Pelodiscus sinensis: one gene and its partner. The protein of the gene in region 2 interacts with the protein of the main gene of each other region in a pairwise test. Links are inferred from orthologs where the notes say so. Each region holds a gene or a part of one and is shown on either strand. Other genes may lie near its edges.

The links.
Region 1: the proteins of PTK6 (region 2) and FCHO1 interact in binary tests that used the Homo sapiens proteins (3 or more experiments, as listed by UniProt). The two-hybrid records come from large-scale screens. The link is inferred for Pelodiscus sinensis from reciprocal best matches to the Homo sapiens genes PTK6 and FCHO1.

Annotation. Positions count from the first base shown.
Region 1 is NC_134729.1:17,886,642-17,893,846, reverse strand, and holds the start of FCHO1 (F-BAR domain only protein 1), read right to left. Parts: upstream 3,162-7,205; 5' UTR 2,956-3,161; coding exon 2,843-2,955; intron 2,754-2,842; coding exon 2,683-2,753; intron 166-2,682; coding exon 95-165; intron 1-94. UniProt on the Homo sapiens protein: Functions in an early step of clathrin-mediated endocytosis. Has both a membrane binding/bending activity and the ability to recruit proteins essential to the formation of functional clathrin-coated pits.
Region 2 is NC_134728.1:5,756,473-5,764,480, forward strand, and holds the start of PTK6 (protein-tyrosine kinase 6), read left to right. Parts: upstream 1-4,797; 5' UTR 4,798-6,748; coding exon 6,749-7,047; intron 7,048-8,008. Other genes in the region: tyrosine-protein kinase Srms, read left to right, coding at 813-1,006. UniProt on the Homo sapiens protein: Non-receptor tyrosine-protein kinase implicated in the regulation of a variety of signaling pathways that control the differentiation and maintenance of normal epithelia, as well as tumor growth.

The DNA of each region.
Region 1 (7,205 bases), on a different chromosome or scaffold from region 2:
CCACACAGCACAGCCCAATTGCTGGGGGAGCGACCAGGGGCCACACGGAAGAGCCCAGCTCGGAGCCCTCTCCATGCCCATCGGGAACACTTACCCAGAAATGCTCCGCAAAGCAGGACATCTTGGAGCTGGGCCGACACCCCCCGCCGCTCAGGTGGCCGGCCTCTGGACAAACACAGACACGGGGTGAGGCCGAGGCAGGCTGCTCCCTGCCACGCCCCAGGGGGGCACCGTGGGACGGAGGGGGGCTCCGCTCGGGGAGGGGACACATCACCCCCCCCGGGTGGGAACATTCCTGAGCTGCTAGAGGGGCGCTGGGACACCTGGGTTCCAACCCCAACTCCAGGAGGACACGGAGGGAGCTGGGATGCCTCCGTTCTCTGGAATTGTTCAGGCTTCTGGTGCCTCAGTTTCCCCACTCCCAAGCCGGGAGCCGATTTGCTATGTGAAGCCTTCCTCTCAAGGCACAGCGCCTCTCACGAGACCGGAGTTTCCCTCTCATATTCTGCCACCGACTCCCTGCATGAGGCAGGGCAGCCCCGTGCCTCAGTTTCCCCTCCTCAAAGCGGGGCCCAGCCCGCCGCCCGTCGGTCCCCGCAGGCTAGCGGGGATAGGCCCTCGTGGCCTGGCGGTGCTTCGGGGGGCAGAGCGACTCGCGTTTCTTTTAAAACACGAAGCAGCTCGCAGATCCATGCGGCTGTTACCATGGAAACAGGCTGCTCTTTCTATCCCACAGTCGCGGGAGCCAGGAGAGCGGCGGTGCCGGCATAGGCTGTTCACACCCGCCGAGGGCCGACAACACCGGGCCTGGCACCAAACACCCTCCCGTCCCACTCCCCTGGGTGGCTTTCCCCAAACCCAGGGGGTTCTGGATCCTGGATCCGGCCCCCCCCACACAGGGATGGTTCCCTCAGGCTGGCCCGAGCCGGCACAGAGGAGAGGCGAGAGGAACGCGACCAGGTGCTGACACCGGATAGGCAGCTGAATAATGAACGAGGCTGTGCCGTGCTCCTCCGGCACCTCCTCCCGCCCCGTCGGCGCACCCTGCAGGCAGCTGCTCACCACATCCCCCGCACGCGCCGGGCGCGTTTCCCTGTGGGGAAACTGAGGCACAGAGGCGGGCGCTGCCCAAGGCTGCAGAACGACTCGGAAACGGCAACAGAACCAAGGAGTCTAGCTCCCCATCCTCTCCCCCAGCCTCGTGCGAGCAGGTGGCGGAGTCTCCCGCGCCGCGCCGGAGGCTGATCCTGGCAGAAACCACCAAGGTCGGAGACCTCCTAGACTACAACAGGGGGGACTGGGTGGATCTCTCCACCCTCCGAACCCCCCTGCACCTACCCCCCTTGCCGCGGCCCACTCTCGATCTCCTACAGAGCCCTGTGTGAGGGGACGCCCTGCCCCTCCCTTCCCGCAAACCCTCCGTCCCTTCTTATTGGCCCCTCTTCCGTGGGCCCCCCCAGCCTCCCCATCCCTGGACCCCCAGCCGGCTGGCTTTCGAACCGCGCCTAGAGAACATCTGCACACGCTCGTGCTCCGTACTCTGCATCCCCCCCTCGTGCCCCGCCCCGATACCAAGGGCAGGGCTACCTAAGACCCGTTGAGGATGGGGGACCCTGATGTGCCCGTGTGTATTCTGCCTTAATCCCGCAGCCCATCGGGGACACTAGCTGGCTGCTCCTCCATGGGGCCGTGAGCACGGGCGTGTACTTGGCGCGGTTCACCCCCATCCTGGACGCCTGCCCCTTGTGTGGCGTGAGGGAAACACTGGCGCACACCTACCTCGAATGCGCCAGGTAGCGGCGCCTAGTCCGGCTCCTCCAGAACCTCTTATTAAGGTTCTGGCTGCACTTTTCCCTTCCCCTCTTTATCTACGCACACCCCATCCGGGCCCCACAAGGGCGCAGGACCTCCTCGCCGGCCTCCTCCTGGCTGTAGCCAACCGCCGGCTAGAACACCAGGAGGGGGATCCTGGACGAGGGGATCCCTGCGACTGGGGGGCCTATTTCCGTTCCTCCCTCGTGGCACGTATCCGGCAGAGTTCCTCTGGGCAGCGTCCACTGGCTCCAGTCACAGCGTTGAGGAGCAGCGGGCGCTGGCCGGGGTTCTCTGCTCGGTGTCCCCAGCTGGCTCCCTTGTTTTGAACCTGTGACCAGCACCCCTCCTTTTAGTCATCATTGGTCCCCAGTACTCAGCGGAGCCTGGGACGTTATCCCTCCCTCCCCATGGGCTCCCGCGGGAGCCCACTCCCTTCTCAGCCCCCAGGAATCCCGGCTGCCCCCGCCGGTCCCCAGCTCAGAGGGGTCCCTGGGACACACGAGGGGAGGCTCGTGAAGCCCCTCGGCCCCTAGTGCTCTCGCTCACGGCGGGGTAGGGGGACGCACCTGCCTGGCCTCTAACCAGACCCTGCGTCACCTGCTCCTGGAGTCTCTGGCTCCCCGCATGGCACCGCTGCTGGGCGGGGGGGACCAGCCCCGGCCCCCCCCAACTCATTCACCCGCTCCCCGACCTGCCCCTCCCCCTCCCTGCAAGAGTGAAAAACAGGAAACTGGGAAATCTTTGCGCGCTCAATTTTTCTAGTCTCTCGGGGCCCGGGGTTGGGGGACCAGCAGCCACCGCTGGGTTCTAGCCCCGGCCCCATCTGCAACCAAGGCAGCCCCCCCGCCCCAGGGCCACCGGACTCACCCAGCACTGAGGGGCGCCCGGTCCCGGCTGGCTCATGCTCAGCTCTGTCCTCCTGGCGAGGGGACCCAGCCCTGTCAAGAGAGAGAAACCAGAAGTCGGCACAGTGCTACTTCCGCTGCAGGGGCCCGAGGGAGGGGGGCGGGGGGAGTGGAACCAGCACCTGTGAGGGCCAGCTCCCTCCCTGTGCCGCTGGCCCAGCCTGGTGCTACAGCCCCTCCTCTGCCCTGGCGGGCACAGGCCTGACACAAGTGCGCAGCCGTCAGCGTGGGGCATTTCCCAAACCGGCGCTCTGCACACGCCACCTCCCGCCCACGGGGCTCCGGGCACGTTGGAAAGGAGAATGATGAGAGGAAACTGAGGCACGAAGGGACCGTGACTGGCCTGAGTCACCCAGCGGAGCTGGGAATAGAACTCAGAGCTCTCGAGTCCCCAGGACCAAAGCTCTACCCATTAGGCCCTGCTGTCTCTGGCCTAGTCATGTTCTCGCCCGGCCTGCCCCCCCCCCCCCATCCGCTCTCCGTGAGGCACCCGGGGGCGCTGCCAGTCCTGTCTCCCCACAGCAGCCTCCCGCCTAACCCGCCAGGGCGACCCACACAGGAGCGGGGCAGAGTCCACTCCGGGAGAAAGGACGCAGAGTGGAAATCGATCAATCCCGCCTCCCTGCGGGCTCATGACAGCACGGGGCTGGCATCCAACAGCCAAGCAGAGGGGATAACCCCAGCATCCCACTTTCCTGACGTCCCATGGTGCCTGGCTCCCGCGCAGCCCCCCCCCCCCCGCCCTCCGGGGTGGCCAGGATCGCCAGCTCCCCACCCCTACCTGGAGGGCGCTGCCCCAACCAACGGGTTCGGATTTCTACAGCCGCCCCCGCTTGGTCGCGCTGAGGCCGAACATGATCCCTGCTTGGCGGTGAAAGGCAGCCACCTCTGGGACGGAACGCGGCAGCTGCAGAACCACCCACAGCAACGCACCTCATGCAGGTAACAGGCAGGCAGGCTGGGATGGCCCCAGCCCCCAAATGCTGCAGAGGTGCAGCAGGCACCTCAGAGCGCTGGCGCCACCCCTGCCAGCAGACACGGGCCGCACGACAGGGAGCCGACGAATCCAAAGGCCCCAGCAGCCCTGGCCACACGGGTGCCCCGAGACAGGTGCCACCCGCTGCCAGGATCCGCATGGCAGGGCTGCAAATGCAGCCCACCCCCCTGCAGCCATGGCGGGTGCTAGGGGGCTGCGGGTCAGCGTTGAGGGGGGGCCCAGCCCTGCAAGGTGGGGGGGGCTCCGTTCGACCTGCCGCAGAGGGAGGCTTGGGACAATGCCCACCCGCCCTGCCAATCGCTCCATTTCCCAAGCGCTAAAATTAACCCTCCGAGGGTGGCAACGCCCAGAGCAAACTGGGAACGGGGCGCAGCCTGGCCCCGCTGGGCCCCGGGGAGCCGTCAGGCCTGGGACAGGGCCCCCGAGCTGGCCAGGGAACACCCGGGGCTGGCATTTAAACAGGAAAAGCCTGGGCAGGGAGCAGCCTTCCGCTTGGGAACATCCCCCCGTCACCCGCTGCCTCCCTGCCCCTCTCGGCAGCAGGCCCCCCACCCCGCATGCTGCTCACCCCAGGCCTGGCCCCACCGCAGGCGTCCAGCAACTTGCAGGGCACCTGGGTCTGGAGGAGCTGGCTTGCGAGAGCCCGTGTGTCACCCCAGTGTCCCTCTGCCCCGGATGCCCACCCCATGCCTCCGGGCAGCGGCAGAGGGGGTGCTCCTGGGAGAGAGAGGGGGATCCTGTCTTACAGAGCCGAGGGGGGGGTGCCTCAGTCTCTCCCCCCCCCCGGGGCCTGCTCAAATGGAGACATTGCTTGCCAGCCTGGCCCAGAGTTTTACCCAAGAAGGGACACATCCCCTGGCTCCTTTCGTGCCCACCTTCCCCCGGCTCCGAGAGGTACCCCCACCCGGCACCCCACACCCAGGCCCCAGCGGAACCGAGAAGCCACAAGCTCGCTCAGGGCCATGGAGCCGGGTGAGAAAGGGACCCAGCGAGCAGGCACTGGGTCCAAAGCCCGCAGGCTGGGCCCGGGGAAGCTGGCCAGGCTCTCACCCGTGTCACCAGGCTCCTGAACTCCCCCCTGGCCTGGGGCCAGAACTGCAAACTGCCACACCCCCCCCAGGGCACTGACCCCCTGCTGGCTACCCGGGTGCCCGAGGAGCAACTCCCCCCCCCCGGCCAAGGCAAGGCCAGAGGCACCTGCCCCTCGCAGATCTCCTGTAGCTTTCCTAGGCCTCACCACCCAGCGAGGGAAACTGAGGCACCAAGCCACCCAGCTCCTAGAGGCCTCACTCCTCCTGCCACCAGACTCCTGCCAGGGCTGCGTTTGGCCCCGCTAAGGTGAAGTAACGGCTGAACTCGCTCCGGGCCTGGAACGGTATCCAGGAGTCTTCCCCCCACCCCACATGCTCTGATCTCTAGGGCACAGGAATCCCGACCCCCAGCGCCCCCGATCCCTCAGCCCCTGCTCTAGGCACAGGAGCGCCCCCTCCTCCCAGCCAAACACGTCTGCCACCGGGAGAGGTCCCCGGCTCCCGGATCAGCCCAGGAGGGGCGGCGGAGCTGGGGAAGGAATTCTGCACTCCCAGCTAGCAACAGACGCCGTGCTCCCCGGGGTCACTCCAGGCCAGGCTGCCACCAGGCGAAGCCGAATGCCGGAGGGAGAGGCGCAGGGCTGGGCCCACGGGGCCCCAGGCTTGGCAGGAACCAGGCGATGCGCCGAGGCCGAGCAACGCACCAACAAACAACGCACGTCAGTGTCAGCCGCCCGGCGCTGCCAGCACCTCCCGCCGAGCCGCAGGCAAGGAGCAGAAACCAGGCCTGCGTCTCCCCCCTTCCCGGAGCAGCTGCCAAACCTCCCCGGGCAACTAGTCCCCCGGCAAACGCGCATCAACCCGACCGGCGCAGGGCCCTGCCCCGCCCATGCAGCTTCAGGCGCCGGCAGGGCAGGTCCGCCCTGGCCTGGAGCCGGGCCCAGGGAGACGCTGCGATAGGAGAACGCGCCCGGCGCTGAGCCGGTCCCCCCTCGCCTGCCCTCCGGTGCGGTGGGAGCAAGCGGCCCCCGAAGCTTTCAACCCAGCCCAGCAACAGACCCACACGAGGCGCTTTGAGGCTTCAGAACTGGCCTGGAAACTCAGCGGAGGGGAGGAGGGTGCAAGGGGTGGCAAGCTAGCCCTCTGTTAGCAGCCGTGGTGGGTCTGGGCGCCACCGGGTACCACGCTGCCAGCCTAGGGCTACAGCAAGGGTGCCAGGCCTGCAGAGTGAGCAACGTCGCCCTCTAGCGGCCGGTGCCGGGAGGATAACGCTCTACTACTGCTGCCGCCTTTTACCCGCTTCGGTTCACTCTGGTCTGTGCTGAAGACGGCAGGTTCGAATCCTGCCGGGGCCTGCACCAGAGCCGGCACGAGCCAGGATGGGAGAGGAGCAGGGCAGGGCAGGGAGCGCGATGCCAGCCCCGCCCATGTGAAGCGCCAGCCCCAGGCTCCAGACACACTGCGGGCTCTCAAAGGGTCCCCGTGCACCAAGAGGACAGAGCAGAAGCCGACCCCAAGGAATGAAACATGCAAGAAGGCAAACGCAGCACCCCCTCCCCTCCCCTCCCCCCCCCCACACACCCCAGCCCTGCATCATGGGGAGCGATGCAGCCACCCACGAGCCCCCTGGCAAACAGCCCAGCCCGGCACGGTGCTGAGAGGCCGCCCACAAGCCACATCCCCCCAGCGCCCCGCGTCAGCGGTGTCGTGCGGCGGGGGCTTCCAGGGGTGGGGCTGACGCCAGGGCCCCCGCACAGCTAACCGGCGCCTCTGAAGAGCGCTTAGCCAGCGGGCGCGTTCGGGGCTGCACCCGCCCCCCCACGCGCCCCTCAAGCTGCCGCCGCGCAGTTGCTCAGGTGTCAACGGAGACAAGGGCTGGCGAAGACGGTTACCCTCCCCCGCCCCTCGCACTCCCCACCAGGCAAAATCCTGCTGGATCCTCACTGCCCGAGCCAGGTGGAGGGGCGACCGCTCACCCCACATGGCCTAACCCCGCACGCTGCAGCCCCAAGGCGCCCCAGGGGCAGACGGCAGGTGCACGGCTCCGGCTCCCCATCCCGTGACCTTCACCGGAGAGCAGGGACGCCCGCCCCCCACCTGTGGGGCTGGGAGATTTCAGGCAGGTGGCTCGGCGGGGGCAGGAAGTGAGTCCGGGAGGAGGGGTGGGGGGAGGGCACGGAGGACTCTGCAAAACCCATTCCAAGCGCCTTCCCAGCAAAGGGTGCACCTGCCCGCTCCCCCCCCATCCCGCCTCCCCAACACCTGGCCAGGCTCGCCCCCCCCCCCTTTTGCAAATGACAAACACTGCATTTTCTCAGGCACGGGGGGGGGGGGGATGATTGCGAGGCGGATCTGCCACCACCCCCGGGCCTGGGGCCCACGGACACCAGCCAAACGGGGGGGGATGTGGCCCCACGCAATTAATGCCCCCCCCTTCCCAAGACAGACAAGCACCTG
Region 2 (8,008 bases):
CAGAGCACGTCCTTCAGGGTGCTTTGACACACAGAAAGCCCCCATGGCCAGGACGCTTGGCGCCCAGGTTAAACTGATTCTGGCTCGCATTGCAGGGCTAAGTGTAGACACGCAGGTTGGAGCCTAGACTATGCAACCTGGCAAAGGTGGGGGAGAGACTCATAGAACTGACCTGAGCCCTAACAGCTGTCCAACTATTGTGAGCCCTCAACCCACTGACAAAGCCTCCCCCTCCCCGAGACTCGGTGCTGTGGGTTGGTTGGTTTCATTGCAGTGCAGAGCCACCCTCACTGTGCGCCCCTTACTCAAGGCTGCTGTCCTCTAGCTCCCCACCTCACTGATGTTCCAGCCCTTTACATCGTTGCCGGAGCCCCATGCAGTGCACTCTGGGAAGCACAGAGCGCTGCCTGGGGGGAGGCGTGCACTCTCCCAGCAGCACTAAGGGCTGCCCAGCCCAAGCCCCCGCCCCTTATGCCTGAAGCCCCACCCCTTCTGGGGCACGGAGCAGCCCCCACCTCTACCCCGCCTCGCCCAGGGGCCCAGAGAGGCAGTCGGCCCCACTGCTGCCAGCCCATTGCATGGAGCAGCTACGGCACAGGCCTGAACCAGATAGTTGCTACTCATGGGAGGTGCACTTGCTGAAGGACTGAACAGCGAAGGAGAAGCCATTCCATATGGGCCGTCTCTCAGGCTGGCTAGACCCCTCACACTCACCCTGAGCCATTTGGGGGATAAACTCCATGACAGGATGGTGAATAGAGATTCCAAAATGACTCAAGAAGGTCATTGGAGCCTCTTTGGTTTTCTTACAGGAATGACGAACCAAGAAACCATCCAGCAAATCAGCATGGGCTACCGCCTCCCCCGGCCAAGCACATGCCCTCCGGAGATCTACTGCATCATGCTGGAGTGCTGGAAGGGCAACGCCGAGGAACGACCCGCCTTTATCGTGCTGCGAGAGAAACTCTGCTCTCTGTACAGACGGCTGCACAGTTCTCTCTCCTGACGGAAAGGGCATAATAGCCAACACCCGCCCCTATTACTTTGGGCTTTGGTTCTCACTCCCGCCCAGTGTTGCAGCATGGCCGGGGGCCTCCACCCCATTGGCTGACTCATAGAGGCCTGAGCCCAGACGGCTTTCTTGTGTGGCACGTGTCGGGTGAAAATACACAAGGCTTTCCTCTGGGGAGACACGGGAAACCAGGTTCCACTGTGGAGAAGGTGAGCCTCCCAGCTATGGTGTGACCGTGCCCCTGTCACACGGCAGGCCTCACCACCAAGGCGCCTCCTGCTGGTCACTCAGGGAATTAGCATTTTTGGGGCTGGAGCGCCCCCTTCTGGCTGGTGTCTCACCTGCTGTTACTGTTATTCGCCACCACTCCATGTCAGGGCCCATGGCTCTCTCAGATGGTGACGCCTTCCTACTGGGGTACTGCCCTACCACAGTGCCCCCACACTCTGGAGTCCTCCCCCTCTGGGGACTCTCAATCCCCCTATGCCCACCTTGCCTCAGTGACTCACTGCTAGTCTTCATCTAGCCCCTGCCTCAGGGCAAACTGCAGTCTGAAATGGCCACTCATCATTGGCAAGGGGTTGTGGACCTGCTGCTTTTGTGTATCCTGGTTGCCTTCCCTGCAGTCTGGGAGCTTGCCTGACCAGAGTTTCCCCAGCTCTGCCTGACTTTCCCCAGTGAGGCTCTAAATCAAGAAGCCTCTAGCTTCCCTAGCAACCAGGTCTCTCCTACTCCACAGCTGGAGCAATAGGGTCTCTGAGTCTTCCCCTCCAGGAGTTTGTATTTATACTGCCCTCAGTTAAATTGGCTCCTATCAGATACAGCTGCTGTCTCCACAGTTCCAACGTTCCTCCTGGGCTGGGTTTTAACACCTTTAAGGGCCAGTGCTGGGCAGATGCCCCATCACATCACATCACAAGAGGACTCATCCTGGTCGATGGGGTCCAGCAAAGCGGTCAGCATGGGCACAAGAAGTTCTGAATTTAAACAGCATGGCAGGGTTTCACCTGCTGCATTGAACGTGAAGTTTCCCCTTTTCGTTGTTGGAGTGAGTGAGTGGTTGACATGGACTTATTCGTGGTGTGTGTCTGATGGAGCCCTCAATCCATGAATGTAATAAACCCACCCAGTTTCCACAGTGCGGGCGGAGCAGGTCGTGCTTCAGTGTCCTCGCCAAGGGCAGTGTCTAAGTTAGCCGTGTTGTAGTCAACACAGCTTTATCTTGCTGTGAATCCCTGGTTCCTCTTTGGAGAGATCCATGCACCCCCCATTTGGGGCTCAGACTTCTCCCACTCTGCCTTGAACTGCAAGTTACCACCCCTCCTTTCTGCCACAAATTGGAGGGAGGGAGCTATAATAGTGTTCCTGTAACCATCATCCTTCCTCACCATTATTTATGCCTCATCTGTCTGCCATAGGCCTCTGCAGCACAGACGCCTGGTTTCTTGGTGTCCCCCAACTATGAAACAATAAACCATCATGAGCATCCCTAAGTTGTAGGCTAGGAGAAACTTAAAAAACAGCACATAGTCTGGTAGCACTTTAAAGACTGACAAAACATGTAGATGGTATCATGAGTTTTCGTGGGCACAGCCCACTTCTTCAGATGTGAGAGGTGAAGGAGAGCTAAGCGGGATCACCCTGTCTTTTAGCGCCACGCAGTGGCAGCCAGAAGTACTGCATTCCTTTTATTTGTCAATTGCAAATGTCGATGTTCTAATTGTACATTTTCCGCCTCTTTAAATACGAGCATTTTAACCAGAGTTCTCTGTATTTCTCATCAAAGTATCTGTGAAGCTTTCGGTTGGTTCCCAGGAGGATCTAGGAAAGGGTCCTCTTAAAAAATAAAAACCGATGTGTCTATCCATTTCTTATCGTACTTCCTACCTTTCTTATGCATTGGGATAGTTTGCAATTGTGGCCTTAATGAAAAATGACCAACTGTCCTGAACTTTTTTTTTCCTTACACTTTCTTCCCATGGGACCATACATACCAATTTGCCTCCTTGAAGTCCATCAGCCTGCAGCTGTTCCTCCTACCATTGCTCAAAAACTCTTATCAGCTTCCTGATTACTTTCTTCCAGCCCTCAATGTCTCAGCCAGCTCCTCCCTGTTTGAAACAATCAAATGTAGAACAGCCTCTTCCCTGGTTGCTTCCTCCACCCTTCGTAATAAAAAGTATCCGGTGCATTCCAAGAACTTGTTGGCTAATTGGTGGTCCCTCCAACATTCTCTTCCCAACAAATGTCTGAGTGGCTTAAGTCCCCCATCACAACCTAATGTGCGTTGGGTGGTTTGGTTAGTTGTTCACCTCTGCTTCCTGGTTAGGTGGTCTATAACAGGCACTTTTCATGACATCATTCTTGTTTACAACCCATTTAGCCTTACTGAGTGACTTTCAACAGGTCTGCCTCCCGCTTTTATCTTGATCCCAGTCAGAATGATAGGAAGTGTGGTAAGAGCCCACCGTGGCTTACCTAGGAGACTGTCAGAAACGTGAAACTCAAAATATAGTCATACAACAAGCGGAAACCAGGTCAAATTATGCAGGATGAGTTAAAAAAACACCAGCACATAGGGAAAAAATTTAAAAGGCCACAGCACAAAATAAGCTAGAGATATAAAGGGTAACAAGAAAACATTTTACAAGTGCATTAGAAGCAAGAGGACTAATGACAAGGTAGGGCCATTACTCAATGAAGAGGAAAAAGCAATAACAGAAAACGCGGCAAAAGCCAAAGCATTAAATGCCTTTTTGGTTTCAGTTTTCACCAAAAAATTAGCAGTGTTCAGACAACTCACAGTGAATAGCAATGTAAATGGGGGAAGATCCAAGGCTAAAATAGGGAAAGAACACATTAAGAACTACTTAGGCAAGTTAGAGGCAATGTTCCCTCTAATCTTTTCCATCTCTGTACAGATTTTTCCATCTAAGTGCAGAATAAATTTTGTTATATGCACCAAGGCTTGCATAAATGTGCACCACATGAGAAACACAAATGAGCTGTGGGTGCTCTGCTAATCATCTGGGTGGCATTGGAATCTCTCCTGAGTGGTTGTGCAAGTGTACAGCTTTCAGGGAACATTTGCTGAAGAAATTGCTGAGCCATTAGTGATTATCTGTGGGAACGCGTGGAGGACAGGAAAGCTCCCAGAGCACTGGCAAAGGGCGAATATAAAACCTAGCTATAAAAAGAGGACTACAGGCAATCCAGGAATTATAGACCAGTTAGTTTAGCTTTGGTACCCAGGAAGTTAATGGGCATAACATCAAACTTCGTAAGCACACAGAAGATAGAGGAGCAGTCAGCATAGAGTTGTCAAGAGCAAACCAATCCAATAGCCTTCAATGGCAGGGTAAGGAGCCTTATGAATAGGGGGAAGCAGTAGATGTGCTATAGCTCAACTTGATGTATAACAACAGTAACCGTGTAACTGATCAAAATTCTGTTGGTTACATGTTTGCTTGGGGACCTAGGAGTACAGAAGGATGCTGGAGGGGTACCCCTGTGCCCAGGAAACTGCTGCTGGCCCCAAACCTGAGGATCTGCCACCAGTGGGCAACCCAGTGCGCATAGGGTCCCAGCTGTCGCCGGCCCTGCACCTAAGGCATCCCAGCATACGTGCAGGCTCCCAGCTGCTGGCTCTACTCCTGGGGTCCTGGCTGCCAGCCCCGTGCCTGAGGCTCTGCTGCCACCCAGGACACTGTGTGCGGAGTTGGCAGCCCAGGATGCTGGGCAGCAGCAGAGCGCCAGGTGTGATAGCAGCAGAGACCCTGGCATAGGGCCATCAGCCAGGACCCCAGGAGTAGGGCAGCTGCACTGGATCTGGCCCACAGCCTGGAGGGACCTTGGCCACAGCTCCGGCAGCCCATGGGAACACAAGGGTTGCTGGGTAGCAGCAGAGTCTGGGCATGAGGTAGCAGCCAGGAAGGAGAAGCCCCAGGAACGGCATCGGCAGGCATGACCCGAGGCAGAATTTAATCTTTAACAGAAACTAGCGCGCATCAGGTGATCGGTTAACCAGTTAAATTCTTACATCCCTACGTGGGCTACTGTTTTGCGTGACCTACGACTAAGCAAACCAAGGAAATACAGCCTTGATAAGCCTACTGCGAGGTGGGTGCACAACTGGTTGGCATGATCATACTCAAAGACGAGTTATCAATGGTTCACAGTCCGGTGGGAAGGCCTTATGAAGTGGCCGGTCCCACAGGAGTCTGTCTGGGGTCTGGTTTTAGTCAATATTTTCATACATGATTTGGATAACGACAATTAGAGTATGTATGTACAGTTTGTAGCTGATGCCACGCTGGGAGGCATAGCAAGCAATCTCCTTGGAGGTCAAGATTAGAATTTTAAAAAATTACTCCTCGTGCCTCAGTTGCCCTTCATGCTACCACGTCCCACAGTTTGAGATCTGCAGGTGAAAAGCCCTGTATGGTCTCTGTCCAGCACCCCTCAAATCCAACAGGAAGTGTTCCACAGACTTCAATCTGGCCCCATAAGAGTGACAGGTTAGGGGGACCCCATCCAAGAGGGATGCACATACAGCAAAATGGCTCTTATGGGGCAGCTATTACATATGGCACATAACCGGGTAAGCCAACATCCTCCTGGGCCTCTGTTTTGGGGCATGAGAAAGCCACTGACCACGCCTCCTTGCCCCAAAACCAAGGCCTGGGTACTGCCTTACACCCTTTGGGTCATACATAATAAACCGCCTTTCTAACTTGCGTGAAATCCTTCCTCGGACTTAAGAATTGACGCTAAGCCTCTCAAATTCTGCTTTGTTCCCTTTTCCCTTCCCCTCTGCCTCTTTTCCCATTTTCTCTCACCTCCCCGTCCTCCTTTTTTACCCCCTTCACTCTCGTCTTTCTCTATAAATTCCTCTCCCTCTCTTCCAGGATATCATAGGCAGGGGAAGGCACAGCCTTCCCAAACCATCAGCCTGGCCCCACCCACACTCCACCCCCAGAACGCCCACTGTAGGCATACTGGGGATGGAGTGTTACTGCCCCCACCTCCCGCCATGCCCATGCTCCAGGACTGGGGAGGTTGGGGCCATACACCTTCCACCCTCCCCGTGGTGCTGGGGAGGGGTTGGGCTGCATGCTGCCCCATGATCCTGTGGTGGAGGGGACCAGGCCTGGGCAGAAGAGGCGGGGCTGGGCTTGCTTGTTTCCCCCAGCCCTACCTTCACCCACCGCTCATGCTCTCTTCTCTCCTAGCACCTCTGACCCCCTTTTCTCCCTCTCCTATGTAGCAATCTACAGCTGGGTGACATTCACTAAGGGAGTGTGATTGTGACCTAGCTAGTTCAGGGCCCAACAGAGAGCACGGCAGCCACCCAAATAATACCCCATGTTCCTGCTGGGCTTCCCAAGGCCAAGAGGAAGTCTGTCCTACCATAGTTTGCTGCTAGGGTGTGAGCTCTGGACTTTAGCTCCAGGTAGCCAAGCTTGCTCAACAGGGCAGGTGCCTTGGGCCCACCTGAGACCTGGGAGTCACACACTTGGCTTCCTTCTGCCCTTTTATTGCCAACAGAGGCGTGGCAGAAGGGCAGGGCAGTAATTGAGCTATCGAGTGCAGAGGGCGTTATTGCAAAGCCGCGTCTGACCTGCCTCTAGTCAGCTGATTTGGCAGAGTTGCACAAACACCTTCGGAAGGCAGCAGGAGACGCATTTCCCAGGGCGGCTCGGCACGGCTCCATAAAGAGCTCATGGCTGGAAGGCGATGAGAACCTCGTTGGCGTTGGCTCTTGGGAGACCGAGCGCCTGCCCTAACGCCGCGCCTCCGTCGCTCGGCAGCATGAATTCCAGGCTTGCAGCCCCACCTCTTTACACCAGCCTCTGGGACTTCGAGGCCAGGACACCAACAGAAATCAGTTTCTGGGCAGGAGAGCTTTTCCAGGTCACCCGGCGTGAAGGAGAATGGTGGTGGGCCAAGAAAGTCGATGGCTCACACAAGGTCCTGGCCGAAGGCTATGTGCCTTCCAATTACTTAGCTGAGCGGGAGACAATGGAAGCCGAACCGTAAGTAAAACCCTGCCGGGGTCAGCGACTTCACCCCCGTTTCATGCTGGAAGAGAAGTGGGATTTGGGTCTCTCAGCCACATGGCAGTTTAGCTGAGCCAAGCAGGTTGGTGTTTGCCTTGGCACCTGCTTCATATAAAGGGGCTTGGGTCTGTATGGGAACCTACAGCCCTTTTAGGAAGGTCTGGGTTGCAATGAAACACCCAGGCTGTTAGCCAGGGCAGCTGTGTAATACCCCCCAGGGGCCAGGCTAGAGAGAACTTATGGCTGACACCCATGTGCCCCCCATAGTCAGCAGAGCCGACAGCCTCCCTGGGCAAGGTGGGGGGGGGGGCAGCGCTGCACTCCTGGGAAGGGCGGGGCTAAAAAGAGAAGGGGCGGGGCTGAAGGCTGCCAAGTCCTTAGCACTGCCCAGACCACACCATGCAGCACTTCAGCAGCGATTTAAAGGGCCCAGAGGAACTGCCTCTTTTGCTCCCTCTGTCCCGTTGCTGGTCCTGCCTGCAGTGGATGATGCAGACGGCCTCTGGAAGGGAAGCAGGAAGGGCAGGATATGTGGGGCCCAGATCTCCGGCATGCGCTGGCTACCTTTGAGCCATACCAGTGACACGGAGCTGCCTTGGGGTGAAACTTCCTGGCCTAAATCTATGTCCAGGGCGTTGGGGTCAGGGTACTGCCCAAAGACAATACAGCGACCTCACAAGGAATCATAGATGCTGAAAGAGACCGGACCTCCCTTAGCACGAGGAGCATGTTGATAGAGCGGGAGCAGAGTCCTGTTCACTGAAGCAAGTTCTTGGTGGTTGGAGGTGCAGACCAGTGATACTGCGAAGACTCTCATTGGCCCCCGAGTTAGAGTAGAGCTAGGTAGGCTGGTGCAGATCTCTCTCCCTCCCCCACCATGCGTGCAGACATAGAAAGACTCCATCTCAAGACAAGTTTGTTTTCTCTCCTCTTCCAG